Lytechinus pictus: one gene and its partners. Each later gene encodes a partner of the first gene's protein in a complex. Links are inferred from orthologs where the notes say so. Each region holds a gene or a part of one and is shown on either strand. Other genes may lie near its edges.

The links. The genes of interacting proteins can lie anywhere in the genome.
Region 2: RANBP2-like and GRIP domain-containing protein 8 (region 1) and nucleoporin NUP188-like share a complex: the UniProt entries of both Homo sapiens proteins name them as parts of the nuclear pore complex. The link is inferred for Lytechinus pictus from reciprocal best matches to the Homo sapiens genes RANBP2 and NUP188.
Region 3: RANBP2-like and GRIP domain-containing protein 8 (region 1) and centrin-3 share a complex: the UniProt entries of both Homo sapiens proteins name them as parts of the nuclear pore complex. The link is inferred for Lytechinus pictus from reciprocal best matches to the Homo sapiens genes RANBP2 and CETN3.
Region 4: RANBP2-like and GRIP domain-containing protein 8 (region 1) and nuclear pore complex protein Nup107-like share a complex: the UniProt entries of both Homo sapiens proteins name them as parts of the nuclear pore complex. The link is inferred for Lytechinus pictus from reciprocal best matches to the Homo sapiens genes RANBP2 and NUP107.

What each region holds. Positions count from the first base shown.
Region 1 is NC_087260.1:25,315,399-25,322,398, forward strand, and holds the start of RANBP2-like and GRIP domain-containing protein 8, read left to right. Parts: upstream 1-3,989; 5' UTR 3,990-4,111; coding exon 4,112-4,192; intron 4,193-7,000. UniProt on the Homo sapiens protein: E3 SUMO-protein ligase which facilitates SUMO1 and SUMO2 conjugation by UBE2I. Involved in transport factor (Ran-GTP, karyopherin)-mediated protein import via the F-G repeat-containing domain which acts as a docking site for substrates.
Region 2 is NC_087259.1:27,653,708-27,661,659, forward strand, and holds the start of nucleoporin NUP188-like, read right to left. Parts: upstream 3,018-7,952; 5' UTR 2,940-3,017; coding exon 2,923-2,939; intron 686-2,922; coding exon 631-685; intron 127-630; coding exon 53-126; intron 1-52. UniProt on the Homo sapiens protein: Component of the nuclear pore complex (NPC), a complex required for the trafficking across the nuclear envelope. Required for proper protein transport into the nucleus.
Region 3 is NC_087247.1:39,281,654-39,289,463, forward strand, and holds the start of centrin-3, read left to right. Parts: upstream 1-4,793; 5' UTR 4,794-4,870; coding exon 4,871-4,887; intron 4,888-7,810. UniProt on the Homo sapiens protein: Plays a fundamental role in microtubule-organizing center structure and function. As a component of the TREX-2 complex, involved in the export of mRNAs to the cytoplasm through the nuclear pores.
Region 4 is NC_087256.1:7,090,027-7,097,284, forward strand, and holds the start of nuclear pore complex protein Nup107-like, read left to right. Parts: upstream 1-4,241; 5' UTR 4,242-4,261; coding exon 4,262-4,384; intron 4,385-4,404; exon of another isoform or gene 4,405-4,417; coding exon of another isoform or gene 4,418-4,447; intron 4,448-4,597; exon of another isoform or gene 4,598-4,736; intron 4,737-7,258. UniProt on the Homo sapiens protein: Plays a role in the nuclear pore complex (NPC) assembly and/or maintenance. Required for the assembly of peripheral proteins into the NPC. May anchor NUP62 to the NPC. Involved in nephrogenesis.

The DNA of each region.
Region 1 (7,000 bases):
TTTGATTGGCCATGGGTGCATGGGGTGAAAAATTTAGGGGGCCCGAATTTCTGTCTAAATGTTAGTGACATCCCCTCTCCCAAAAAAATAATAATAAATAGATAAACAAAAAAATCTCCTCTCACGAGGAGCATTTTATCCGTACAAGATTTTCAGACAAATAAGAAAAGTCTTTCACAACCATGCAAAATGTCGCAGTTTATGTGCAACTTTCATACTAATCTCTGATCGAATATGTTTTATTTTCTTTCCAGCCATGTTATAATTAGACTCCCTTTTTGGATATTTTGACGAGCACCCTCATTCAATACCCCCCCCCCCCTCCCGCGTATGTTATACAAAAAAAGTTTATTGATATAAAATCCTGACATTGAAGGATCATCATCAAAAACAAAGAAACATAAGAAAAAAATTAATACAACATAAGCATAACATAGTAACAAAGTATTCATAGCAAAACAAAAAACAACAACAAAGAAAAAAAAGAAACAAAAAATACCAATCTTCGATGAAATGTTAAATGCGAGATACATATCAATGCATAAATATACACACACATACATAATATACCTAAACATTAATACACCCATATACAATAAGCATAGTATCATCTTTTTTCTTTCAAGCATCCTTAGTTTCTCCACTTATATGACTTATTCCTTTAACACATATTTTGCTAATATCCATGTCAGTGGCGGACCCTGACCCGGAGGAGACAAAGCATTGGAGGGGCACAGCATTGTTCACAAACAATACAGTGCCCCTCCAATACTTTGTCTCCTCCGGGTCAGGGTCCGCCACTGATCCATGTCATTGCTACCTAATATCAATTGGAATTTGTTTTGTTAGTTATTTTCATAAAATCCGGCAGTACCTCCTTTCATAGGCGGCGGAAGTGGGGGGACGTGTACCCCCCCCCCTAAATTTGAGGTGGGGGCGGTCCCCCCCCCCCTCCCTAAATTTTTCGTTGATGATTTTTTTTTTTTTTTTTTTTGCTTGTCAAAATTTTTTGTCGGTCCCCCCTAAAATTTTGGTTGATATATAACTTTTTTTTTTTTGCTTGTCAAAAATTTTTGGTGGTCCCCCCTAAATTGTTTGGCTTCCGCCGCCAATGCCTCCTTTAGCTTGTTTAACTTGGTATTGTTGTATCCAGTAGTGGTTTGATGGGTGCCTATTTTAGCCTATTATAAAAATAAAATATAAGCCTAGTTGAGTAGGTTTTTCTCTCTCTTTATTCCGGGGGGGGGGGGGCATGGGTGATGAGCTGGGTCATTGAGTAGTAGTTGGTACTATAAGTATAATGTAAAGATATTTTTTTAAACAAGTGCACACCAAGTTACCAACAATGCATATAGCATTTCTATTTATTTGAAAGCAGGATAGAAGAGCATTGTACATTAAATGCCTTGCTCACGGGCATAGGTGCCGCGGCCGGGGATCGAACCCCGGACTTTCTATGTATAACCAGGAGCCTGAGACCACTCGGCCACGGCACCATGACGTGAAAATATGAAGAAAGGATAAGTTCCCGAACCTCACCCCCTCGATCTTCCATGGCCCTCTCTGGAACTGAGCGAACGGTGCCGGGAGTGCTTCGTACGTGTTATAGGGAGCAGTGACCCCTGGAAATTTGTTAGGCATGCAGCTATGTAATCAAAATCACCTCTATTTTGTAATGATTTTTTTTCTTTTTTGCTTGTCAAACTTTTCCTGGATCACTAGACCTGCTGAGCTCACCTTCATTTTGTAGCGAAATTTCTCGTGATCGACCATGCAAAATGGCATGGCCCTTGGAAGCGGGGGTGCTGGGGATGCCGCTAAAACATAACTTCCTCAGGGGTGCTGCGTGTATTATTTTCCATAGGCTTGGCCCCAAAGTGTTCTGGAAGCTGTGTAAAAATTGAGAAATGTCACCTAAATGACTTTCATTTTTTATTGAAACCTTTTTTTTTCTTCTTTAATTGCTTTTGAAATTTCTCGGGACCAATTTGACCTCTCTTTTGTGGTGAATTCCTTTTCTGTTCTTCTTTTTTTCCCTGCTTCTCTAATCTCGGGACCAATTTGCTCTCCATTATGTATTCAAAACCTTTTTTTTTTTGCTTATAAAATGATTTACACACCAGCACCCCAGTAAAAAAAAATTAAAAATCATTCCAAATGGCCTTCATTTTATAATGAGAACCCCTTTTGGAACTAGTCAAAGCTTATCCTGCACCCCCTGTTTAAAAAAAAAAAAATCGTTTTTAGGGCCATAGGCGGCGGAAGCGGGGGGGGGGGCGGGAGGGACATGTCCCCCCTAAAATTTTAGTTGATAACCTTTTTTTTTTTTTTTTTTTTGTTTGTCAAATTTTGTTGTTGGTCCCCCCCCCTAAAATTTTGGTTGATAACCTTCTTTTTTGTTTGCTTGTCAAAAAATGTGCTGGTCCCCCCTAATTTTTGGGGCTTCCGCCGCCATTGTCTAGGGCCCTGCCCTCTCCACAGAGGTGTGCCACTCGATCCCCTCCAGTGGCGTAGCTACGGGGGGCCTGGGGGGGCACGTGCCCCCCCCCCTGAGATTTGGTGTGCCCCCCAGGTGCCCCCCCTGAAAAAATTGGCAGAGCAAAAAAAAGGGGGAGAAAGAAGAAAAGAAAAAAGGAAAAGAAGAAGAAAGACAGAAGAAAAAAAGAAAAGGAAAATAAAAAGGAGGAAGACGAGTGAATGAAATAATGTGAAGGGAAGACTTGCAAAAAAAAAAAAAAATCTTTCATGTTACTATATAAAACTTTTGCTTACGCTTCGCGCCAGAATTGCCTGTTCGATGAGATTCATATCTTGCTCAATAGGCTGATATGGAGCAAGTTTTGAAGTCAATATACATGTACAAAATATATTTTAGCTCGGACATCGAGCTTTCATCAATTTTTTTTCATGAACAAATTTAAGTGCTCTAGCTGTAAAATGTCCCTGTTTTAGTCTACATATCAGCATTTTTTAGCTCACGCTGCGTGGTCAAATTGTTTGATTTGCCAAGTTCCTATTGTCTACGTGTATTCCATAATGTTCCATTAAACAAAATGTATTCAGACTGCCCAGATTCTAGGTCTAAATCTAAATCATGTGCGATAGCCTGCATGTTCTTTATATTAAATGTACTTAAATTATCCAGTTTCACATCAGAATATCAATAATTGTATGCTCACGCTTCACGATCGCATTAAATAATGATACCCAATTAACTACATCCTATTTATGATTTACAAAATATGAATAGAGTGTCCCGCTTTTAGGTCTAAAATCTAATTTTTCTTCCTCTCGCGCTTCGTGCTCGCATCAATTGTTTAGTTACATACCTATCCCATTTATTAATACAAAAAGTGCTTAGAATGACCACTTTTTATGTCGGAATGTCAAAAAAATTTGCTCGCGCTTCGCGCTCGCATTATTGAAATATATACCGTCTTCGTGGGTAACTGTAAGCAGTCCTTAACAGGTCCCTTTTCGATAATGCTAGAACAGTTAATAAAAATTTCTGCTCGCGCTTGGCGTTCGATCGCAGTAACCATCTAGTTACATACGAATCTTGTTCACGGATCACACATAACATTGCCCAGAATCATTTTCAGGACGAAATACATGAAAGTAACACCAAAAAAAATCGCTCGCGCTTCGCGCTTGCACTTTTTATAAGGCTTATGAGATTATTTCATGTTTATGTTCTTTTATAAAAATAAAACTAAGTGACTGATCGGGGGAAATATAGGTGAAGATAATTTCGGGCCCCGTCCCCTATTGGCCAAAGTCGGATCCGCCCTTGTGACACATACACACACAACGGAAAAAATGGTGCCCCCCTGAAAAAGCAAGGACCCCCCAGTGCCCCCCCCCCCCTGGGAAAAATCCTAGCTACGCCACTGATCCCCTCCCCTGGGCCTTTCATCTCACGGTGAATTATGAAGTTTCGGCAGCTACTCGCAGAATTAACCGTCTGATTTGAATTAATTCTTAAAGATACCATAACATTTAAGATTGAAGCGCACCGGTTTGAAAAGGTCACATCCGCCGTTTGGTTTCTTTTCAAATGTGAAATTTTACAGCGATTATATCGTTTTATTGTCGCATCTAATCAACAGATATGTCTCGAACATATCGCAGCAAACATGAGGCTGACGAATTTGCCGAATCTGTAAAGAAAAGAGCAAAAAATTCACAAGAGGTAAGAGGGTATTCGCGTTATTTCATCATAACGTGATTTTGTATTGTAATTGAAAATGGTAGTCCCATTCATGTATTTTCATGTTTGTGTGCAAGATGCCAGTTACATCTGAGTCTGAGAAAGATCCACCCACGGCACGGGTACATTACCGCCGCCGTGCACAGGATAACCACTGGCACGGCACTTGCAATAAGTTTATTAATTTTTTTCTAAAAATTTGAAATAGATAGGGCCTACCTATTTAAAATAAGATAAGCTTTGAAGTTTGGATATGAAACCAAACGATATGAAGCCAATTTCATTTCCTCTCTGACTCTGTCTTTCTGGTACTAGGCACTTCAGTCGGGCGGGCGACCACGCGGACACAGCGCTAGACGTAGATTTTTGCATTGCAGTGAATGGCGAGCGCCTATCTAACACACACAGTTCGCTCCGCTCGGCACTTTGGCCGAGCGCTGGAGTTGCATTCGGCATTGCTCGAAAAGACAGAGTCAGTTTCTTCCTTTATTCCGCTGATTTTGATTGGTCAAAAATTCCCGCGGTTGCTTCGTACATCTTCGGTAAACATCGGAAATATACAAGACGGAGTCTAACTTACCTTCATGCGAGGGAAGGACCTAATATTCAGGTATTTATTTTTCTTTGCTTGAAATCACCTTGTAATCATCGGATCCCTTGTAAACTCGGTCAGTAATAAAATTGTATATTTGAGAACATTTTGTGAAATTCTAATCAAATTGAGCTTCAGTTTTGAGTGTCATGAGGTGTTTGTGAATCTGACTCGGCCGATCGAGCAGGGTTGTTTTGAGCGTATACGAACAGCTGTGAGTGACGTCATCCCCACTGCGTTGGGCCTGAGATTAGTCTTGGTATTCAGACACAGTATGTTTCAGCCGTTGTATATTTTTTTAAATTACGATTTGAGCTCTGTTAATTATGAAAATCAAATTGTTATTTTGAAAATAATTTTGTAGAATTCGTGTGAAATAAGTATTAAGAGCAAAACTGCAAGTAAACTTCAAGAATTTTGTTTGATATGTGATTTTTTGTTGGAATGCGTCTGAATGTCTAGAATATGGTATTGTTAATGAAAGTCGTATTTTTGAATGGCACAGAAAGCTCCTTGCATGAATTTAATTTAGAAATAGGTTTACATACATGAGATGTGTTTCATGAATTTGATATCTGATTTATGGACCTTTGTTATGGTGTTAATTATTAATTTGAAGATATTATGAAAAAGTAAGAGAAGACAATAATGAGGCAATTAACAGTGATGATGAGACATTAATAATATGAGACAATAAACATTGAGACAATTATAATAATTATTATGATTATAATAATAACAATTATAATTATAATGATAATAATTATAATTGTAATAATTATTGAGACATCAATTCTAGTATTTATTGACAATAATAATTATTACAGTAATCATTATTATAATAAAATAATTGTAATAACAATTATAATGATGTACTTTGAATTGTAATAATTACTGAGACAATAATATTAATGAGATATCAATAATAATCATTATAATAATAATCATTATAATTAAAATAAATATAATTGTAGAAACAATTATAATTATAGTAATTATAATTATAGGCCTTATAATTAATGAGACAATAATAACTATTATTACAATAATACTAATTATTATAAAATAATTATGATAACAATTATAATGAAAGTAATTATAATTGTAATAATTACTGAGACAGTAATATTGAAAGGTCATCAATAATTATTATTATAAAAATTATTATGATTATAAAAATAATCATAATTATAATTAAAGGCCTTATAATTATTGAGACAAATAACTATTATTACAATAATTATAAAATAATTATAATGATAATAATTATAATGAAAGTAATTGTACTTGTAATAATTACTGAGACAGTAATATTGATAAGTCATCAATAATTATTATTATAAAAATTATTATAATTATAATTATAATCATAAAAATAATAATTATAATTATAGGCCTTATAATTATTGAGACTAATAATTATTTCAATAATAATTATTATTATGAAATAATTAAACAATAATTACTATGATAGTAATTATAATTGTAATAATTATTTAGAAAATAATATTAATGAAACAAAAATAATTATAATAATAATTATTATAATTATAATACTAATTGGGACAATAATGAAACGATGATGAGACAATAATAATATCAACAATTTTATTGAGACCATAATAACAAGACAATAATGAGATAATAGACAATTGAAATCAATCTGTTTTTATTTTTTTCTAGAAATCCTAAGATTATTATTTTAATTCTCTTTCTTTGATTACAAATTATATTCATTGAAAACTTAATTTCTAATGTTCAAGCAAAGAAAATCAATATCAAGTCATGTTTACCCTGTGCACAAACCTACCACAGGGCAATTACCCCCGAAATAGGGTTAGGTTAGGTGTAGATTTTTGGATAGGGGTAAAGTGTAGTTGTCCGGGGGGGGGGGGTAATTGTCCAGGGTGGGTGGGGGTGGGGGGAGGGAAATTGTCCGAGGGTGGGGGGGGTGGGGGGTTATCGTCCAGGGGTAGTTGCCCTTGAACCAAAGAAATCATATGCCAATATGTCAAATCAATCTGAGTACTTTAAGATTTAAATAAAAAGCTTGTACAATTCCCCATAAGCTATGTATTATAAATGTGCCATGCCCAAAACAAAGAGAATAATAAGATTTCGCAATCTTCTTTTGTCCACAAAAAGGCCTGTTTTTTCATCACAAAGATGACAATAACTCGACTTCTAGATATCGGAAT
Region 2 (7,952 bases), on another chromosome or scaffold:
ATTTGTCAGTTGATGATATTTTTCTAAATAAAAGAAAACAAGTGACACTTACTTGTGTTTCTTGTAAAATAGCACTCCTTCAATAAACTTCTTCTTGTGATTAACAAGCTCCTCTTTTATCAATTCCTGAAAGACAACAGTTGAAAGTACAGATTTAAGGCAACAATTGTTTAAATTGCAAAAGTGCCCACACTTACATGATGGCTGATGTTGATATCTCCAACATGTATTCAAAGCTATGATGTTAGCAATTACCATTCTAAGTCTGAGGGGAATCTAAATATTAAACAGAATGGTAAATAAATAAAAGTCACTCTGCATCATTAAGTGCTTACCACATAAAGTGTGGGCCAAAAACATAGTATATAGATGGTTAAGCTCTGCTTAGATTAGCATTTGATCACTCTAAACAATTTGATACAAAGTCTTATCTTTAGGACAGAATAATATCTGACTGATAAATGCCGCTATAATCCAGATTACACACCAAAATAGCTAAACTTATGTGTAAACTGTTATCCTCTCTTATAATATTCCATTTATGACTGCTTTTCCAGACACTTTTTCCACCAAAAGTGCTCTTTATTGACATTAGTACCTCTTGTCCCAAAAGTATTTAAGAAAGCTCACCTCTGCTCGGATAGCTGAATGTCCACTTATTATCAGAAGCAATTCCTGACAAGAACTAAAAATAGAAAGCAAAAGGAAACCATTAGCAAGGATATCAGTCAATTTTGATCAAAAATAAATTTTGACATTTTTGCCAAAAATTAAAGTACAAGTCCTAGTCTATACATAAGTAAATTCCTAGGCAGCAATTTATTTTAGTTTTTTGAGATATGAGGGGATTTTCAAGGCAATGCCATTCAAAGATTCCATAAAATTCACAAATCCCATTTGAAACGTGTACTGTACCAAAGCAAACAACAGCTGCGTGCACTCAATATGCAATGCATGGTCAGCAAAATAGTTGTATCTGCATTACATTGACTTTGCACACAGAAAGAGGGATACAGCGTTTTGCTTGATCTCGCACATTAAAATCGTGGTCAGGGTTGTTTTCCTTATGGCGTTTTTGTACAGGGAAAATCTATATCGCTCAATCTGAAATTACAAGCATATAGCTCTTTTGCAATATTCTCTCATTCTTGGTTATGTGTAAAAATAAAATAATAATAATGATAATACATATTACTCAATATATGGCACTTTTCTCATAAGCCAAAGGCGCTGACAATGAAAATAATTAAAACTCTAAAACTATAAAACTGCAAACTACGAAAGAGATGGGTTTTTTAAGCCTTTCTGAAAATCGCTATTGATGGAGACTGTCTTATCATATGAGGCAAATTATTCCAGCACTTATGATGATGGATGATAACAAGAGTATGAAGATAAAAGAAGACAGTGAATTTTTCAAGTAGACATTGTAAATATAGTGGATTAATTTTTCATGATGTGAATTTGCTTAGAAAAGGCCCAAGCCCCTGTCGCAACCGTAGTTTGTAAACAAATAAAAATTGGTCTCCCAAACCGGACCTGAATGGGAGAGTCTTCAATAATATTGGACTTGTGTCTCCAGTAGGAGTGATCATATTTTCACGAATCACCAAATTAACCGTGTTGTTTCTGATCGAGTGATTCTTCTTCTATTTTTCCTCGTCTGCTGATCAAGTCCTCATTTATCCTCCTTCTCTTGATATAATGCTCCTCCTAGACCAAAAGCTTCGGTCTCTGTTATGTTGGCTGTTCCGCTGAACTCTGTTGGCTCCACTCCCCAAATACAGACCGAAGTTCTAGCTCGATCTTTACAAGACTCAATGGCCATATGTTTATGTATTAAGTTCGGATAAAACAGGGAAGTGAAGTTGCGCGACAGCCGAAGTACATGTGAGTCACTGATTTTCCCCCTTTTAAGTTTATTTTAAGTTTATATTTCAGGCCAAAACAGAATAATAATCGTTATTTTGGTACAGTTCTTTTTATATGTTTTTATGAAATAAAGACGAAAATCGATGAGCCCCGTCGATGAGCGAAGTTGGCTCAGTCGGTGAAGTGTCTGCCTGTCGAACCAAAGATCGTGGGTTCAAGTCCACCCCGGGCGGATTACTGAAGCCAGTACGTTGTGTGTAAACGTCTCTCCCCTGTTCCATAGATGCAGGCTATGTTACAGGGAAAACACTCTGTCCCTCGGATAGGACGTTAAATGGAGGCCCCGTGTAGAGGAGAGTCACCATCTTTGCACGTTAAGAACCCACTGCACTATTCGAATAAGAGTAGGGGGAAACCCTGGTGTAGTGGTCCACCTGCAATCCCCAATCAGATATCGAGAGGTGAGCATCTTCTTTCTCCGTGCCATCAACATCTGCGCACTTCCTGCCCGGTTGGCTCCTACTGTGGGGCGTTGGGCAGTATACCCAAAGAAGAAGATGGGGGGATTTTGTATTGTTAACCCCCTAATGGTGGCGGCATGACAGCGAGCCGTCTGTCACTCTGTGTACGACTACGAGTACGAGGAGAAATTTAAAAAAATAAAAAATGTAAAAAAAAATCCTCAAAACAGACAGCTGCCAGCTGTCTATGGCTATGCTCCTCCCCAATCTTCTCATCCTTCTCCTTCAAGAGACCTCCCCCTCCCCTCCTTGAAATTCAGATGTAGATCTAAGTTAGATCTAGCAAGCAAAACTGAAACTGAATTCTGAACATGCTGAAAGAGTAGATTATCACACAAAAGAAGACATGAATATCAATATGTGGGACAATGAATCATCAGGGAATGGAGGATGAGAAGCATCACCATTAAAGGCATTAGAATTCCGTGCATAAAAATAAGATTCAGCATGAAAAATATATCAAAAAGAAATCTACAATTTTGTAGAAGAATTCGTACAGAATAAATGAAAAGTAATGAATTTAACTTACGTCGTGAACACAGCCATGATTTCACTTTTTAGTCATCAATTTCATTCAATTCAATTCATCACCAAAGCAAGGTAAAGCCACTTCTTCGATCGATCGCACGTACATTTTCAACACGCAAACCTAGAGGGCCAGCTTCATTTTTTGCCAGTCTTGTATTTATATGGTGGCTCAGGGGTGACCCGACAATTGCTCCGCCGACATCTGCTCCGCCGACAATTGCTACGCAAAATACGACAACTGCTCCGCCGACAATTGCTCCGGACAGTTGCTCCGCCGACAGTTGCTCCGTCGACACTTGCTCCGCCGATATCTGCTCCGCCGACATCTGCTCCGCCGATATTTGCTCCACCGATATTTGCTCCGCCGACATTTGCTCCGTCGACATCTGCTCCGCCGAAAATTGCTCCGCCGACAATTGCTCCGCCGATAATTGCTCCGCCGACTTCTGCTCCGATTATACGACAATTGCTCCGCGATAATTGCTCCGCCGACAATTGCTCCGCCGATATTTGCTCCGCCGACATCTGCTCCGATTATACGACAATTGCATGAACATCTTATTTCTCCAAGTTGGTCTATGTTTGAAATGATAAGAAATTCATCCTGATACAAATTGTTTTGTTGGTTTTTTTTCTTGTTATTCGTTAATGTTTTATTTATTTTATTCTCCCCTTATCATCACAGCTTTCTGCTTAAAAAAAACCAAAACAAATCGTTCTCCCTGCCGCTGCCACTTGACAAATTGTAACGGAGAAGGGGAATGACACACTCCCCATTGAAATTGTGAATCTGGATTTTTGTTCATATATTATTATCATTGGTTTCACTCCGGTCTTGAGCGGGGAGAGAAATTGGGGGGGGGGATGCTGGACACAATATCTCTTCTGCTTTCCAGCAACTTATACACCAATACATTCGCACGGGCTCTCTCTCTTTCTCGTTTTGTTCTTTCACGCTGTTTATTTTCATTGATGACCGCTTGATTTATTGTATATTTAGCAGCATTATAATTATTAATATTTTTATCAATAATTTTTATTTACATCTTGGGCCTTATCTACCCTTGCACCTTTTTTCTTTCAATTTGTTCCAAACGAAAGTATGATCATCACTGGCGTACAGATGGGGGAGGGGTGTGCTAGGGGTCACGGATCCCCCCCCCCCCCCATTCTCCCTACCAATGAAAAAAAAAATAAAGGAAAGGAAAATAAATGTAATCCTTGTCTGGCCCCCTCCAATTGTTGTTGTTGGCTCATTACGCTACAGGTGAGTTACTATAAACTAGACTTCGGTTGTATTTTTGTTCTATTCTGTGCAATAGCGACAATATAAATATGTTTTAATAAATGAATATATGTATCTCTCTCACTACGTCTAAACAAATAATGTTATTTTAAAAGACAATAATATACATACCAGTAATAATATAGTTACAAATTCATGAAACCCGATACGCATTAAACTAAATTTATAATGCGAGCACAAAGCGCGAGCTGTTATTGACCAGGAAAATTGTAAACAATGAAGCATATCTCGAGGGGGAGATATCTCATAGTGAGAGCGCAATGCGCTAATTGAATATTTTTGATATATTTCAGAAAAGGGACATTTTGTGATCGTGAACTTGAGACATATTTATGGAGTGGACCAAGCTTTCGCCACTAGGGTTGGGGGGCCGGGTGGAAAAAACATTTTCATCCACATTTTCGCCGATCAGCCGCTAAAAGCGGATTTTTTTTTTAAGGGTTAGTCCTAACTAAAGACTAAAGTTTAAAGTGGAACCGTCGTGATGTGGTGTAGCGGTTCGGGCTCTTGGCTTGTACTTAAACGGTCGTGTTTTCGAATCCCACCTTGGTGTAGCATCCTTTGGCAAGTCGTTAATCCACACTTTGCCATTCACAACCCATGTGCTAAATTGTAAGATGTGAAAGTCATTGTAGCTTGTCCTGCATTATGTGCGCCTAATCGGTGACAGGCTGGATTACTCCCCAGGGAGTGGAGGATGTGCATACGTTGTGTGCGGGAATAGCTGATTAAAATGATGACCGGGGTGATAAATATGTAAGCGCTTAGATACATACCATGTCTTAAGCGAATTATAGATAACCAGATGACTGTTATTATTATTATTATTGTTCTTAATCATTATTATTATTATCATTGTTATTAGTAGTAGTTGTATTATTTGTATCATATTTTATTCTCCTTCCTTTCATTTTTTTTAATATTTCAAAATATTTTGATATCCGTTCCAGAAATTAATCAAAAGGATATGAATCTTGCCAATTAAATTATGGAGGAGCTAAGTGAAACTTTTTTTCATAGGTTATGAAAACGGAATATAAAAAAACACACACACAATCATGTTCCGTATCTTACTAAATAGCGCGATATGCAAGCTGGGATTATTTATAGGCCTACTGGTCTGACGCTCACAGTGGCATAATGAGCCAAAAATGGCTGATGGAACAATAGTTCTAAAAAGATGCGAGCGAGCGAAGCGAGCGAGCATATTTTTTGACATTTTTAATACAGAAATCGAATTTTTTTTTAAAAGAGTTTGACTTAATATTCAGAAAATAATATACCATTTCACCCTTTCCGTTTCATTTTCTTTCTTGTTCATTTTCTTCTTAGGCGGCCATATACAGATGAAGGTATATCATTTATAGAAGAAAATCTTGTTTGATTGATTTGTTTTATTTTGAAACTACATGTAAAATTATATATATCCCCCATCAACAACAAATTGTTACTTACATTATAACATCAGAATGAATATAATTCGACTATTGGCGGACCATATGGATTTTATTTTTTAATTTAAAAAAAAATTAAGTATCCTTTTTCTATCAGTGAAGAAAACAATCATGATCAACATAAAACAAAAAAGCAACTCACTATTATATATTATCATTATCTAAAAACCTACGGTGTATATGACATGATGTTATCAATAAAATGAAATTTCTTTTACCACAATCCTCATTATTTATGCTTTATTCGTCATTGATTTTGCCATACCTGAATTACGGTCTCTTGATTTGGGGTAATACCCATCAAACGTTGATAGAAAATATTTTTATACTGCAAAAGAAGGTTATCCGGATTATTTGCAAGGCTCCAATACGCTCTCATACTAATTCTTTATTTTTCTTTCGAAAACAAGATTTTTTAAAATTAAGGATTTATATTCATTTCAACTAGGTCAGTTTATGTATCAATATAATAGCAATGATTTACCTATTGTTTTTATGACATGTTTCATAAAAATGAGAGCATTCATAAATACCCAACTAATCAATCAGATGAATTCCATTTACCGCTTTTCAGGACGTTCAAAGTCAAAAATACTTTCATTTATGAAGGCCCAAAATTTTGGAATTTCCCTTCATAACGACTTAAAGAATTCCCCCTCTCTGTACACTTTTAAAAGAAAGTTAAAATCTTTCTTACTGAAATCCTATAATCACGTCTAAAAAATACATCATCACATATTTTTATCTTTAATCACCGTTCCTTTTCACTCATGCGCTACGTTGCTTCTGTTTGTCTACACTCCTCTCCCTGTAGTTCATTATGCAGTTCTCACATTCATTCCCCACCCCCCCCCCCCACCCCTTCCTCTCTCTTTCTCTCTCATTCATCCACTTTCTTTCTATACAGTATAGAAAGAAAGTGGATGAGAAACAGTAACTGTTTCTCATTCCTGAGTTTTTTGCGTAATTTTCGTATATTTTGGTTATTAAATATTTTCTTTTAATGATGTCTCCTGTTGGTAATCATGGTTTATATTTTGATTTGTATATATAAATTTATTTCTCGCATGTCATATTTTGAGGAGCCCACAATATACAAGCTTTGCTTTTAAGTGGGATCCTCCATTTTCACAAATTATAAATCACAAATCCTTTACACATGATTACTTTGTATGTAATTTTCTTATAAAACGTCTTTTTCAAGTTGATTTTATGACCTTGTTATATTTTTTTATGATGTTGACTTGTTATGATTGTATTTATTTGATTTATATTTTGTTGAAAATTAAATAAATGAAATTAAATGTGGATGTGGAGACCAGAGCACTGTGTATACGAGAGGATATGGAAACCAGATTGGAGGGGTGTGCCGAGAAGGTGACACGACATGTAGCGTTTCACAAGTTGGTATTTTCGTGAATATTAATTTTTAATTACTGAATGTCTTGGTCATGTTTGTGAGGAACAAAATTTGCCGACAGTAAACATTTTGCGTGACTAGAGTACAGGTTTTCGACAAAAAAGGTGGGGTACCGTTGAATTTCACCTGGAGCAAATATCTCCACTTCGGAGCATATTTCGCCAGAGCGATTTTGACGCTAAGAATGGGGTATATCTAAGTTTTTTTGTACTATTATAATAATTACATGAAAACGCGTATTTTATTTTTTCATTCTAATCACCAGGCACGTGATAAAACTTACACAAATGCTCCCCCCCACCATGAATAAGAATTAATAATATCTATCCCTCCTTTGTGCTTACCCCTTTTTTCTATTTCTTCCTATATATGCATGTATCAGAATTCAGGAGCCGCGGAACCGTGGGGCTTCAGCCCCCCACTTTTTTCCAAAACCGTGTACAAAAACGTAAAAATGACCATATGATTGCGATTTTTAGCATGGTCAGCCCCCCACTTTAGACTCATGCAGCCCCCCACTTTAAAAACCGTTCCGCGGCCCCTGTGTATGCCATGTAATATATCATGCAAGCATTATCGGAGCAGTTTACAGCGGAGCCATTTTCGGCGGAGCAGATGTCGGCGGAGCAAATATTGACGGAGCAGATGTCGACGGAGCAGATATCGGCGGAAAAATTGTCGCGGAGCAATTTTCGGCGGAGCAGATGTCGGCGGAGCAATTATCGGCGGAGCAAATGTCGTATAATCGGAGCAGATGTCGGCGGAGCAACTATCGGCGGAGCAATTGTCGCGGAGCAATTGTCGTATAATCGGAGCAGATGTCGGCGTAGCAACTATCGGCGGAGCAATTG
Region 3 (7,810 bases), on another chromosome or scaffold:
AAAGACTTTGGACTTATATTACAATTTTTGAAACAACCGGGTCTGGAAAAAAGACTTTGGACGTATATTATAATTTTGAAACAACCGGGTCTGGAAAAAGACTTTGGACTTATATTATAATTTTTGAAACAACCGGGTCTGAAAAAAAAAGACTTTGGACTTATGTTACAATTTTTGAAACAACCGGGTCTGGAAAAAAGACTTTGGACGTATATTATAATTTTGAAACAACCGGGTCTGGAAAAAGACTTTGGACTTGTACTATAATGTTTAATTAACTGGGTCTGGAAAAAAGACTTTGCACTTTTGTGCTATATGAACGCATTACTGTAGGATTTTAGTTCAGAACGGATTCGCCAAAAAATCCCTTCAAATTTATTACATTTGTGGGTAAAGTCATTATTACATTTGTGGGCGATCAAAAATTATTACATTTGTGGGTAAAGTGCATTATTACATTTGTGGGTGAAATTATTACATTTGTGGGTAAAGTGTTATTACATTTGTGGGCGTTATTACATTTGTGGGTAAAGTGTTATGTTATTACATTTGTGGGCGTTATTACATTTGTGGGCGTTATTACATTTGTGGGTGCAACACCCCCCCCCCCCCCCCCCCCCCAGTCTGCATGAATATTGTCTGTATAAATCTGCGCGTCCCGTCTGGAAAATCAAGAAAAGGGGCGAGAGGGAAAAAAATCAAGGAAGGGAAAAGGGAAATAAAATATGAAAACGAAGAGAAAGAAGGAAAGAAAGCAGGGAAGAAAGGGGCAAAGAGAAAGAGAAAAACAAAAGGAAAATGAAATGAAAAACGAAAGGAAGGAGATAGAAAAGGGATATGGTGGGCGAGGTTTTGAGGAATAAGTGAATGTGTCGGGGCCTGAGATGTTGTCCGTTTGACAAAACGATATGAACGAGTTTTCGCTATCACGACGGGGGCGGATTCTACAACATAGAAATCTACTCCCGTCAAATCACAATGAACAGCTGAGAGGTTTATGTCTAAAATTGGTAAACCGGGGCAGAGTGGTCGTTGTACTGAGATTCTGAGCTGATGAACTATTGCAAATATTATGTCGCTCGTCCAGAGTTACAGGACGAATCTTCTCTTTTGATTCATCGATTTTCGACATAGGCTGCTTTGTCCTGAAGGGTTTTTGACAACAGATTTCCTATTTTGTAGCATGCGTCCCCGTCATTTTGCGAAAACTCCCTGTCTGTTACGCAAGCGCAAGCCTGGCGCCTGACAGAAAATTATAAACTGTCGAGTCACGACGGGGTTGTTTTAAGTTCTAACTATAGGCCCTACTTTATGTACCGTTTTCTAATTAGGGCTTATACTTGGTCTTTGAGTTCCACCATCTTTGTAGGTAATTGTCAAATTGCACACTATTTGTTTTTTTCCGCAATGAGAATGTGAGGATCTCTATGTATTAGCCTATCTCAGGATTTAGGTCTAAATAAAAAGTAAATAAATAAAAAAAAACTCAGCTCGCGGTTCTGTATCGACAGTGATGAATGTATAGGTTTTAGGTCTAAATCGCCCCCCAAAAACAAAAGAAGAAGAAAAGGTCAGCTCTCGCTTCACGCTCGCATGATTTATGTAATAAGATCCATTCACAATTTCCCTACATTTTAACAATGCTTAACAGGTCAATACATCGACAATTTCAGCTCGCGCTTCGAACTCGCATTGTTTAATAGGGTACAGACCTGCTCTTCATCAAAAACATGTTTAGAATGTCTAGTGGTCAGGTTTGAATTCACCGTAATTTCAGCTCTTGTTTCGCGCTCAAATCAATCATATTGGTTAAAAAAATTAACCTCATCACTGCAAAAAGTCCTTGGGTGTCCTTATTAGGTTTCTTTAATGCAAGAATGTAAGAAATTTAAGCTCGCGCTTCGCGCTCGCCTTGTTTTATTTAATACCCATGGGCAGATCCAGAGACCCGGCAAAAAAAGGGGATAAAAGTGAAAGTTTTGAAGTCAATATACAAAAACAAATTTCAGCTCGGACACCGAGCTTTCATTATTTTGTTTGATTCACAAATTATTTTTAAGTGCTCTGTAAAATGTCCGTTTTTTGGTGTGAATATCAACATTTTCAGCTTGCGCTGTGCGCTCGTGTTATTTGATTTGCCAAGTAACTACTCTCTTCGTGTATTCCACAAAGTCCTAAAAATATCAATTTTCAGGTGTTTGATTGTCAAAACGTATAGGCCTATCGAGCTTGGGCTGTGCGCTCGCATTTTGATTGGTGAGTTATGTATACTTCTATATTAATTCTATAACAAACCACTTAAAATTCACTTTTTATGACAGTTTATCAAAAATTTCGGCTCACGGTTTGCGCTCGCATTAATAATGTTGTTAATAAAAATATTGTGTTAACCTATGCCGGCATCCTATTCAAATTACAAAAGTACCTAAAAATAATGTCCAGTTTTAAGGCTTCAATATCAACAAATTTCACTCTCTCGTTGATTAATAAACATAATAACATGTTCATGAATTCCTAATTACTAAACTGTTCCTTATTCAGAATAGAAAATAGACAAGTTTCATCCTGCGCTTACTCATCAATGTCTCATCAATGTCATATGATAACAAAATTTCTCGAAAGCTTAGGCCCCTTTTGACTTTCTAATAAAAAAATGTCCTTAGAATGTCCCGGACCTATATAGGTCAAAATGATAATAATAAATATCAGCTCGCGCTTCGCACTCGCATCATTTATTAAGTGCGTTCACATCCACTTTGCAATTTTCCTACACAGAGCTTGAAATAGTGCTTAAATTGACCATTTTGATCAGAATATCAAATATTTTCATTGTTGATTTTGTTGATTTTCAGAATTAAAAAAAAAGTATTCAGAATGCCCAGATTCTGTCCAACTCTAAAACACGCGCACGCATGTTTATTGAGACACGCAGCTTAGTCTAGTTTTTAGGTCGAAAAATTCAAATTTTGAGCTTCCGCATCTTGCTCGTATTGTTTGTTTATGTACCTATCCTGGGGGCCGTTTCATAAAGCTGTTCGTAAGTTAGGAGCGACTTTAAGAACGACTGGTGAACCTTTCTTACGCGCTAAACCATTGTCAATGGTGTATAGCATTTACCAAAAGAAAGGATCACCAGTCGTTCTTAAAGTCGCTCTTATCTTACGAACGGTCGCTTTATGAAACACCTGCACCTGCTCATTGATACTATTCAAAGTACTCTAGAATGTCTAGTTTTGAGTTCGAAATATGAAAGTTTTTTTTTCAACTCGCTTTGTGCTTCATCACTTTGAGCACGATATCCTTCCTGATCATGATTTGAAAATCCCGCTTTTAGGTCTAAATCTAAAGAAACAAAACAAATATATTATTGTTTGTTAAGATAATTCCGGGCATATGCTCGTCATCAAAAACTTGCTTAGAATGTCTCTTCTAGAAGAGACAGAAGAGACATTCTAAGCAAGCAAGAGACAGTCATCCCGGGGGGGGGGGGAGTCAAATATATTTCTGTACACACGCGTGACCAAGAAATTTCCAAACACTCCACGAGTTTTTCTATGTGTGCAAAATAACCCCCTTAACAAGTTTTTCGCGGGCTTTATTTACACATTTTGTCCCCTAAACAAGATGTCGCCGAAATATGACCTAGGGGAAAAGTTTGGGAAAAAACCTACTCTTAACACGTTTGGCTAGTCTTGATAAAAAGCTTTGGGGGGAAAAACATACCCTATATACGTTTGACCCCGCGATTGACCATTGACCAGTCTTTCAAAACCACACTTTGTTTTTGATACCCTTAACCAGTGGCGTAACAGGCGGGGGGCAGGGGGGGGGGGGGGCAAGTTGCCCCCCCCCTGGCGGATTTCACCGGGAAAATAAAAGAAAAACGGGAAAAATAAAAAAAAAAGAGGGAGAAAGAAAGGGAAAGGGGAAGGAAAGGGGAAAAGGAAAGGAGGAAAAGGAAAGGGAAAAGTGAAAAGAAAACGAAGAAAAAACTTTTTTTAAATGGAAAAGGAAGGAAAGCGGAAAAATGTACGAAAGAAGAACATCTGAGAAAGAGCAAATCATTCCGAAATAGGCCTATGTAATGCAATAGCAGAGTGGGAAATAAATTAAAAGATGACAAAATGGCAAACAATTGCGGGAAACGAAGGTAGAATGTAATTAGTCAAAAGCTAATGGACTGCATACAACATTGTGCTTTAAGCTTGCTAAATGCGGGGCTAAATGTTATGCAAATAAAAGATAAATTCTGCCTGATACGCAATATATGGCCTTCTCAAAATAGTCGCCTCATTACACCATAACGCCTGTTCATACCATGATATGACCGGGAAATTTTTGGCCCTTGCCCCCCCTGCAGGCCACCGACCCCTGTTACGCCGCTGCCCTTAACGAGTCCACGCGCGTACCGCGTCCAAAACTGAAAAACACCCCTTTAAACGCGTTTTTTTTTGGGTCACGCGTGTTTACAGCAATAAATTTGACTGCCCCCCCCCCCCGGGACAGTCACTCACTTTTTCCATGCTTTTTTCTAACTCGGGCCTATGAGCTAGTAGTAGTACATGTAAATGTACTACTGTATGGTAGTACATGTAAAAAAGTAAATGGGTACCCGGTAGGAAGGAATTCCTTGAATGCTCGATGCGCCCGATCAGGGTAGCCGTGCTAAAGCCGGGGTAATAGTATGCAGCGCTTAGAAACATTTGTATTAAGCGCTATATAAATGTTGCATATTATTATTATTATTAGTACATGGTAAGTCCCTGTTTACCTTTGCCTAGCTCCTCAGCTGTGATATAATATGCGCCCTCTATTGTTAATATTTTGTGCATGAAGTTGTTTTGAAAATTGAATTTAGAAAATAGGAAATATGAGTTTATCATTGAGGTAAGTGATAACATAATGATCAGCAGCATTGTAATTGCTATATTGTGCCGTATTTTGTTTTAAATCAAAGTTTGGTTGCTTAACTGTAACTTGACTAACGTTTGCGGAATGGCAAAATGCTCTCGCGCTTCACTCTGCTTGTTGAATGTTGCCTGTGTGTTGTCCCACTAATTCATATCTATGTTTGCTCTACTCTAACTGTAGACAGCTGGCAGCCGTCTGTTTCGAGGAGTTTTTTAACTTTTTTTTTTTTTTTAATTTCTCCTCGTACACAGACGGCTCGCTAGCGTGCAGCCACCATTAGGGGACTTGCAATGCAAAATCCCCCCGTCGGGGCTCTTCAATTTTTGTCTTTAATGAATAAAAATTTTGAAAATTAACGCGACCAAAATGCAAATTAATATTCCCTCTAAACAGAGAAAAATCAAGTTAAAAGGAACAAAAACAGTGACTTACCTCGGCTGTCGCGCAAATTCACTTCCCCGTTTTATCCGATCTTAAGTACATAAACATATGGCCATTGAGTCCCCTGTACAGATCGCGCTAGAACTTCGGTCTCTGTATTTGGTGAGTGAAGCCAACGGAGTTCAGCTGAACAACCAATATAACAGAGACCGAAGCTTTTGGTCTACTCTAACTGTTACAGTGTTAGTATAACGACAACGTTGGAATTTATGCCAGACATACAGTTAACAACATAATTATTCAAACCACTACTGAAATTTCAATGTTTCGTGTTTTTTCTGGTAAACGACAGGTGGAGGCAGAATATTTTGGCCGAAGTTGGATACCTTTAGTTTTACTTGAAAGGTAAAATTCTAAATGGGTTTTGTAATACTAATAGTATAGTCACGTATTGTATTACCGGACACTATTGTGATTCCGGACGCGCATATAAATGCGTTCGAAAACAATTTCGTACCGTAAGACTTCCGCAATTCATTTTCACAGATCAATACATAGAACAAGATTGCAAAAACAAGGCGAAAAAAAATCAAATTTCTACCTTATTTATCTCTAAAATGACAGAAAATGCTTAAAATATCATATAACATAGTTTTGCATTAACAATTGAATGAATTGATATATTTTCTTACGGAAATATGGGCCTGATTTGCCGAATTTCAATCTCGTCGGCTCCTTCGATCGAATGATGAGGTGAGGTGTATTGTGGGTGATCGTCGACAGCTAGTTCTCAAGGTACCGTGCGCGAGGTTTACCGTGAGTAGAGCCGTCGACGATCGGCTGCGCATCGATAGAACTTGATGAGCGTCACGATACGAACGAACACTGGAAAGTGCCATGAAACATGCAGCTAACCAAAAAATAAAAAATAAATTAAGTTATCAAACACGAATTTATTACCAACATCTGCTCAGATTCGATATAAAAAAAGCAAACAAAAAGTTAGAATTTATTCATGATATGATATAAGAAGAAAGAAATCACAGAAATTTATTCTCACATCATTATAATCAAGGATATCTTTACCCGTCCGGAGCGCGTCCGGAATCATGATGTAATTTGTCGCGCACGAAAATAATTGTTTTTCGTGGAGGGGTATGCGGCAAGTGCGATGCAAAGAAAATGGTTGGTAAATATAAAATAATTTTATCATATTAATAATTTTCATAATATTTGGAATAGCAAGTGCGAATTTTTCTTGATTGTATTTCCTCTAGTTGTCATTTTTAAAGCACTGAAATAAAGGTGTCCGGCAATAGGATACACTACCATACTACTACTCACTCCTAGTACCAATGAGGTCCAACATTACATGTATGGACCTCATAGGCGACATCAGTAGTATTTTTGGTTAGAAATCTCTGAGAACAGGATATTTATATATTATATCACAAGTACAAGCTATATTCCTTTCTCTTATTTAAATTATAATTTTATAGTGTAAATGCATCGTTAGCAACAACAAAAAAATGAAAGAAATGAAGGGGAACTTACATTTTCACGGCTTTTTCCTGATTTTCTGGGCAGCTGCTCTTCTCTTCTGACTCGCGATCGAAGCTGATATGAAGATCACGTGATTCGCGTTCTCGTCAGCTGATCGGTTGGTTATTCTTTTCGTCAGACGTTAATAATATATATTTTATAATGCTAGCATTCATCGCTAATTTAGGTGAAAGAGATTGAAGTTAAACAGCGCCAGGTCGGAATCATAATTATTTTGGAAGAGTGTATTTATACACTCGATCTCATACCTGACGTAGACGGCGCTATTCAACAAATGCACAATCTTCAATATAAAAAATAAAACAGAAAGAACGCCTTGAACACAGGCCAAAATGCCTAACGATTTCTCCGCGGCATTAACAACTATCGTAAAGGGCGCTCCATTTATCAATAAAGATGGATGCTAAGCTGTCTATGGCGACAAAATTTGCCGCAAATATTTACGAAGAATTGTGAGAAATGGTCTGAAAATGCAACAAAAGAACCGGTGAGTACCGATTAAACATTATCAATTTATTTAATAGAACATATTTAATGACTACAATGTAACAATTTCTAGATAATATTGCTTAGTTCTAAGCTAGGGCGGCCCAAATGCGCGTGAGTGGAGTCCCAGTTTATTAGCACGGGTAAGTATTGGGGTGTCGCCTAGAGTGCTACTACTAGGCCTAGTATAATAATACTAATATTAATAAATTAGGCTTAGCCAATATAGGCTACTATACTAACATGACTAATACTATTGACTTTTGTATACTGCTTTTCTGACGGAGCGTAGACAGAGAGTTGTTATCAATGGCCAGATGTCAAAATGGAGTAGAGTAAAGAGTGGAATACCGCAGGGAAGTGTCCTCGCCCTCGGGCCAACAGTATTTTTGATTTTTATCAATGACCTGCCAGAGATAGTTACAAGTCTAGTCCGAATATATGCAGATGATACCAAAATCTTTAGAGA
Region 4 (7,258 bases), on another chromosome or scaffold:
GAAGCGCAGCCTGATTTTTTTTTTAATTTAGACCTAAAGTAGTAAAGAGGATTGTTTGTAAGAATTCACTAAGACCATACATATTTCATTTTAATAATGCGAACGTGAAGCGCAAGCTTAACATTTTGGACATTCAGGCCAGAAAGGGGGGAATTTAAAGAACTGTTTTTTAAGAATTCATGAAGAGCATATCTCGCCAATCCATGCACTAATGCAAACATGCATAAGCACGACTAGAAATGTTTTATATTCAGACCTCAAAAGGGGGCGAGGCATGAGAAAGAAGTATATATGTCACTACATAAAAAAAAATAACTTAATAGGCCTATTTGACTTGAAACGTGATGTTTTAACAAAAGGATCAATAAACAGACAATGCGAGCAATGCGAGAACAAATTATGTTTTGTGACGTTATTATAGGCGTAGCTGGGCTCTATAATACAATAACATAATGATCCAATATACAGGGGCGGATCCAGCCTTCGCCAATAGGGGGGCCCGGAATTTTTTTTTCAGCCATATTTTCCCCGATCGGCCGCTCGAAGATGATTTTTGCCGGGATTTTTGGTTTCTTTGAAGGGGTAGTCCTAATAGTCACTTCTTAGCTTTATTCTTATGAATAAACATAAATATATAATACCATAATCCTTATTCACATAATGCGAGCGCAAAGCGCGAGCTAAATTTTTTTGGAAATCTTATGTATTTTTTCTAAAATTTTGAACATATTTGATTCTGGGCAATGTATGTTATCATGAAAAAGATGTGTATGCAAATTAATAATTACTACGAACGTGAAGCGCAAGCAAAAACGAACTGATGGAAAAAGTACTGTTAAAGACTGCTTGCAGTTAGCCATGAAGACATTACATATTTTAAAAATCAAATAATGCGAGCGTGAAGCGCGAGCTGAAATTTTTTGACAGTTTTACCTAAGGAATGGAAATTCTAAGCACTTTTTGTTAAAATAGAATAGGTATATAACTAAACAATTGATACGAGCGCGAATGGCAAGCTGAAAAATTCGAGATTTAGACCTACTGAACGAGACACTCTATTCAGGTGTTGTAAATCGTGAAAAGGATGAGTAAGTGGGGATCTTCCTTACATTAATAATGCGAGCGCAAAGCGCCAGCAGAACATTTTTATATACGTTTTGAACTGATCGAAAATGTACCTGTTAAGGACTGCTTGCACTTAGTCATGAAGACATTACATATTTCAACATTCAAATAATGCGAGCGCGAAGCGCGAGCTGAAAAATTTTGACATTTCTACGTAAAGAATGTAAAATTTTAATCAATTTTTGTAATCGTGAACAAGATAGGTATATAACGAAACAATTGATGCGAGCGCGAAGCGCGAGCGGACAAAATCGAGATTTAGACCTAAAAACGGGACACTCTATTCATGTTTTGTAAATCATGAAAAGAATGAGTAATAGGGGGCCTTCCTACATTATAATAATGCGAGCACAAAGCGTGAGCAGAAAGTTTTTTATATTGTGATCTGAAACTGGATAATGATTTAAAGGTCAAGTCCACCCCAGAAAAATTTTGATTCGAATCAATAGAGAAAAATCTAACAAGCATAATGCTGATTTCATCAAAATCGGATGTAAAATAAGAAAGTTGTGACATTGAAAGTTTCGCGTATTTTTCTCAAAACAGTTATATGCACAACTCAGTGATATGCAAATGAGAGAGTATATGATGTCCATCACTCACTATTTCTTTTGCTATTTATTGCTTGAATTATACAATATTTGAAATTTTACAGAATTGACAATAATGTAGAACTTGACTGAACCACATAATGTTAAACAATGTTAATTCAACATGTTCAGGAAGGAATAAAACTCGATTTCACATGACAAGGGGGAGAAAATCAAAATATTTCATATAGTAGAATACAAAAGAAATAGTGAGTGGCGACGTCATCAGTCCCCTCATTTGCATACCAACCAGGATTGCATATAACTGTTTTGTGAAACTTATTAAGCGAAACTTTAAAAGGCCATAACTTTCTTATTTTACCTCCGATTTTGACGAAATTTTCAATGTTATGTTTGTTGGATTTTTCTCTTTTTATTCCAATCCACTTTTTGTTGGGGTGGACTTTTCCTTTAAATAGAGAACAAGTTGACTATCTGAATAAACATGCGCGCGCATGTTTCATATTTAGACCTAGAATCTAGGCATTCTAAATACATTTTTTATTATGAAAATCAAAGCGAGCGCGAAGCGCGAGTTTAAACTATTTGATATTCCGATCTGAAAAAAAGAGTCAATTTCAGCTCTATATTTAAAGCACTTTGTAGGAAAATTGTGAGGTGGATATGGATCGCACTTAATAAAGAGCTGATATTTTTAATAATTATTACTTTGAGTTTTAACATAGGACCGGGACATCCTTAGGATATGCAAATGAAAATGATGACTATCTTCCTATTCCTCTTGTTAAGTGCGAGATGAAACAAAGGGGACAATTTAATTATTAAATGAATATCTCATTCATTAATGCCTAATGAGGGCGCGAAATCTGATGATATTATGGCCTGAAAACTGGACATTTCAAGAACTTTTGTAATTATAAATATAGGATGCATCAAGTTAATATATTTTAACCATTAATGCGAGCGCAAATCGCGAACCAAAATTTTTGATGAACTGTCATGAAAAGGGGATTTTAAGTTGTTTGTTGTATAATCAATATTGAGAAATATATAACTCGCCAATCAAAATCTAGCTGATATGTTTTGACAATACACCTGAAAAGTGATATTTTGACAACTTTATGGAATACACGAAAATAATAGGTACCTGCTAAATCAAAATTTGCGAGCGCGCAGCACGATCAGAAAATGTTAATATTCAGACTATAAAACTGACATTTTTATAAAGCACTTTTTAGAAACAATTTGTAAATCACACAAAATAATGAAAGTTCGATTTCCGAGGTGAAGTATGTTTTGTATATTCACTTCCAAACTTGCGAGCGCGAAGTGCGAGCGAAAATTTTATACAGTGACATATGAAAGATTCTTTTTATTTTCCAAGTCTTCTCCTCATCATATTTTATTCACTCATCTTCCTCCTCTTCTTTTTTCTCCTCTCTTTTCCCCCCTTTTCTCCCTTTTTTCGTTCTTTCCCTTTTTTTTGCTCCGCGCCAATAGGGGGGGGGGGGGCGGGCCCCTCGGCCCCCCCTGGATCCGCCTATGATCTACAAATTAATTTCTTCTTCCCCCGCTACGTTTCTCTTTAATTCTTTCTCCCCTTTTCTCCTTTTCCCTTTTTGCCAGCCGTCCCCCGTATACGCCTTCTATTGTAAGGTGAGTAAAAACAAAAAAAAAACGGTAGTTATGTGCGAACAGCTTTTGTCTAGAGTCTAGACAAAAGCTGTTCGCACATGACTACCGTTTTTTTTTTTTTTGAAATAGGTCTACCGTCTAGACTCTAGACTAGACGGTAGACCTATTTTCAAAAAATAATGATATGTCACGGCTCCAGTGCAAAATAAATTGAAGTGGTCAATTCGTACTTTATATTATGTACAGTTATTTTTATGTAATAATACTATACTTCTCAGAGAAGGTAGTGATGGTTTATAAGACTTCACAAATAAAAAGTTAAACTGAACATTAAACTTAATAACTTTTATAATTTTTGATGGATTTCCCACAAAACCTCCACCTAACGTTAGATCTTTTTAAAATTATTTTACAACGAACGCTGAGGTAACTTCCGTGGAGCGTTTCATGAAAGGACTTGTCTTATCCGACAAGTATACCCAGTTGTTGTGTGTCCGGACAGGTTGTGTGTCCGGACGATCAGTTTTAGAAAGTCATTTGGAAAAATTTACAAGCAAAGTTTCATAAAATGTTTAGTACGAAATGTTAGGTAATATTATAGAGAACAAAACAGAAGATGATTACAACTATTGAATTCGTATTTTTAGTGTAATCCAAAGACAAAAAAGAAGGCTTCAAAAATATTAAGTGTCCGGACACCCCACCCCCCCATCCTTTTATCCGACAGTTACTATGGTAACAGTGCCTCTCATCCTATCATTATGAAGGAAAGTTGTCAGACCTGACAACTTGTCGGATGAAAATATTGATGAAACGCTCCCCAGATCATAGAGTTAAATAGAAGCTTCCGATCCCTTTTTAATTCAGCATGCACGGCCGGAGCGTGGCGAGCGCACGACGCGTGGTACCGGTACGTTCAGTTCAAACGAGTTGGACGAATTTCTAGTAAAATGGCAACACTCGCGGCGGGAAAGAAAAATGTGCGAAAAAAAGAATCAGCTGTTCGTCCTCCAGACCGTATTTCCGGTTCTTTTGTTGAGCCAGGTGATACCACAATGGCAGATATTTGGAAGGTTCGTTTCATCAATGTGGAACATTTGATTTACATGAATTTCTTGATATCTATTAAGTTTTGGGTAGGCCTACCCGACAGTCATTGCGTTGCCCCACCTACTCATTTTTATGTGTGTTGACTGTTGTTACTTGCGAATTGCGGCCAGTGGCCTAACTTAGTAACTAACGACGTTAGATTCTAACGACAACGTTACGTAAGTTAGGCCCTATGGCCTATTGCCCACTCGCACTAGTACGACTACGAGGCTAGTATGTATGCTCTACTAATCTCGTATACCGAACTGCGTTTGGCCCTGGATTAATTAAGTAGGCCTAGACGGTCGACGGCAAGTCATCGCTTCATTGCAGAAAGTATGCATGATTGACGTTTATCTTGTCGGTAAATCCTATAAAAAAGAGACAGAAAAAGAAACTATAGACTATAGTCTAGTCTCTAGACGACTAGAGGGGTCTATCGTAAACTACGTCTACATTTAAATATTGATTATTGAATATAGTATAGTGCCCAAAAATGTTGGACACTTCTTAAGCATAATTGGACCAAAACAAAAAGGCAATCATTGATGACGTTTATCAGTAGAGGTGCACAGCCAAGCCCAAGCAATATTGGAGACTATCTCCAATGTGGGAGAGTATCTCCAATATCAGAGACTTTTGTAAAGAATTTTGGTATCCAATTTTAGAGACAGTCTCCAGTTTTGGAGACCAATTTCCTTTGTTTACATTTGCTGCAAAAGGATTACCTTGGCGGCAAATAAAAATGTGATAAGCAGATTCCTCATGAGAAATTACCCCTTTTCACCGTCTACTTAAAAAATTCACCGTCTACTTTTGTCTTGATAAGGATTTTTGTTGTCAATCACACACAAAACAATTGGGCTTCTGACCTCAGTGAGACAAAATTTTGGGTGGAAAAAATCATGCTTTTGTTGGTGTTGTTTCTTTTGTCCTTTTGCAAAGCAAGTCTCCAATGGCAATGTGGGAGATTGTCTCCCCTATTGGAGAGAGTCTCCCATATTGGCTGTGCGCCTCTACTGTTTATTTCCGTAGAGGGCGTATTATCCGGCCTCCCCTTATCCAGATCTATTTTTGGACGCACACTTGCCAAGATTTTTTTTTTCAATTCAATCTAGTACGTTAGCTTAGGAAATGAGATTTCAATCTAAACTCAATCCTATAAAGTATAGTAGGCCTATACACAGACTCACTTGGATTACATATATTTTCCAATATAGTCTACCTACATACCGGTACAACAACATTAAGTCACTATTTTTCATGAAAATCACAGAAAGAACTTGGGCAGGATAATTTTATCACGTTCTCTTTTTTTGTTTTTCCCGGGAAAAACAACGCATGTCTCGCTAGCTAACACTAGGCCTTGATACGGACAGCGCCATCTATCATGTTTGAGCCTACAGTCATAACAATGGCTGACATTGCGAAGCTGCGATAGCCGCGATGATCTAATTGTAAAACTTTCATTGAGTCATTTTCTTTATTTCGAGGTATGCTCGATGTATACCTCACTCATTTTAGCAGGTAAACTATCGAACAATTTTGGCCATCGATCGATTTCATTTCCGTAAAAATACCGCCTATAATTTGCACTGACACTGCAGTGAATACTGTCTGTATGCCCACTACAATAGATAACATGTAGCTACAGCCATTAATGTTGGGGAGGTAGCAGCTGCGTGTATTTAATATTTATTGGGTCTCCCAGATCTGGATAAATCCCTTATCTGGATTGGTGCTGGTCCCAACGTGTCCGGATAAGAGAGGTCGGACTGTATTAAATTGTTTTAGAATAAAAAAAAATTATGGTAAATGGAAATTAGTTTCAAAATATCGGACGCGTAGAGTTGTGCACCCTGATCAATTTCGGGGCTTTAAATCGCGCTCTAGACCCCAAAATAATTGCTTAGTTGTTAAGTCCAATATCGAAACAAAGTGTAGCAAGAGAACATGGTTATTGGAAATCACTGTCATCCGACCATTCCAAGGTAACAAAGTTGGACATCCTGTATGGATTTTCTGATTTCTTTTTCTTCTCTTTGCCTTTCTTTCCCACAGGAATGAATGCTCCAGGGTGCCGTAACTTCCAAATGATTCCTTGGAAGTTGTCTTTGTCTTCTTGCTTTTCTTCGCTTTCTGTCTATTTCTCTGTGAGTAGTAGCAGGAAGGTGATAACTGAGATGATGCCAGGCGCTTGGTGGTAGTTGGGTTTGGCGACGGTGACGATGCTTGAGTGCGGGAAATACGATGATCCGGTTACTCCCCCGCTCCACCATCCCGAAGATCCATATTTTCAATCCTCTCGGATCGCAGCGGTGATACTTGGTATGCCATCCAAAATGGCTCTCGTCAATCTCCACCTCTCCTCGGAGTACTTCTGTCCCTCACAAATTTCCGGCATTGGTCACGGAGGAAGTTTGCCCAATCCACCGCCGATTTGTTGTAGTCCATTCCCGACTCTACTGCACATCTGTGAAGGAGGTTCCAAGCTTCCATTCCCTCAGAAAGATGAATATTTCCTTGACATCAAAATGGACTCCTTTGAAGAATGAATGCTTATGAACAGAAAAGTTCCGCTCGTGTTGCCATGTCACACTTCCCCAACACCGCCATATCTTTCCTTCCTTTTAGCACAGTTGACAAGTTTACAAGGTCTTGTGCAAATATCACAGTAGATTTGACTGACTTGCAATCAATCTCTTATCTTGAAATCACTTGTAAAGAAAATTGTTGCTCTGGGAGAGTAAAAGATGGAATGAAAAGGGATTCCTTAAATGCTGAATATCCAGTAGAGCTGGATCCTTTTTCCTCATAGACCAAGCCATCGTTGCCTTTTCTTCAGTTGTGACTGTGAG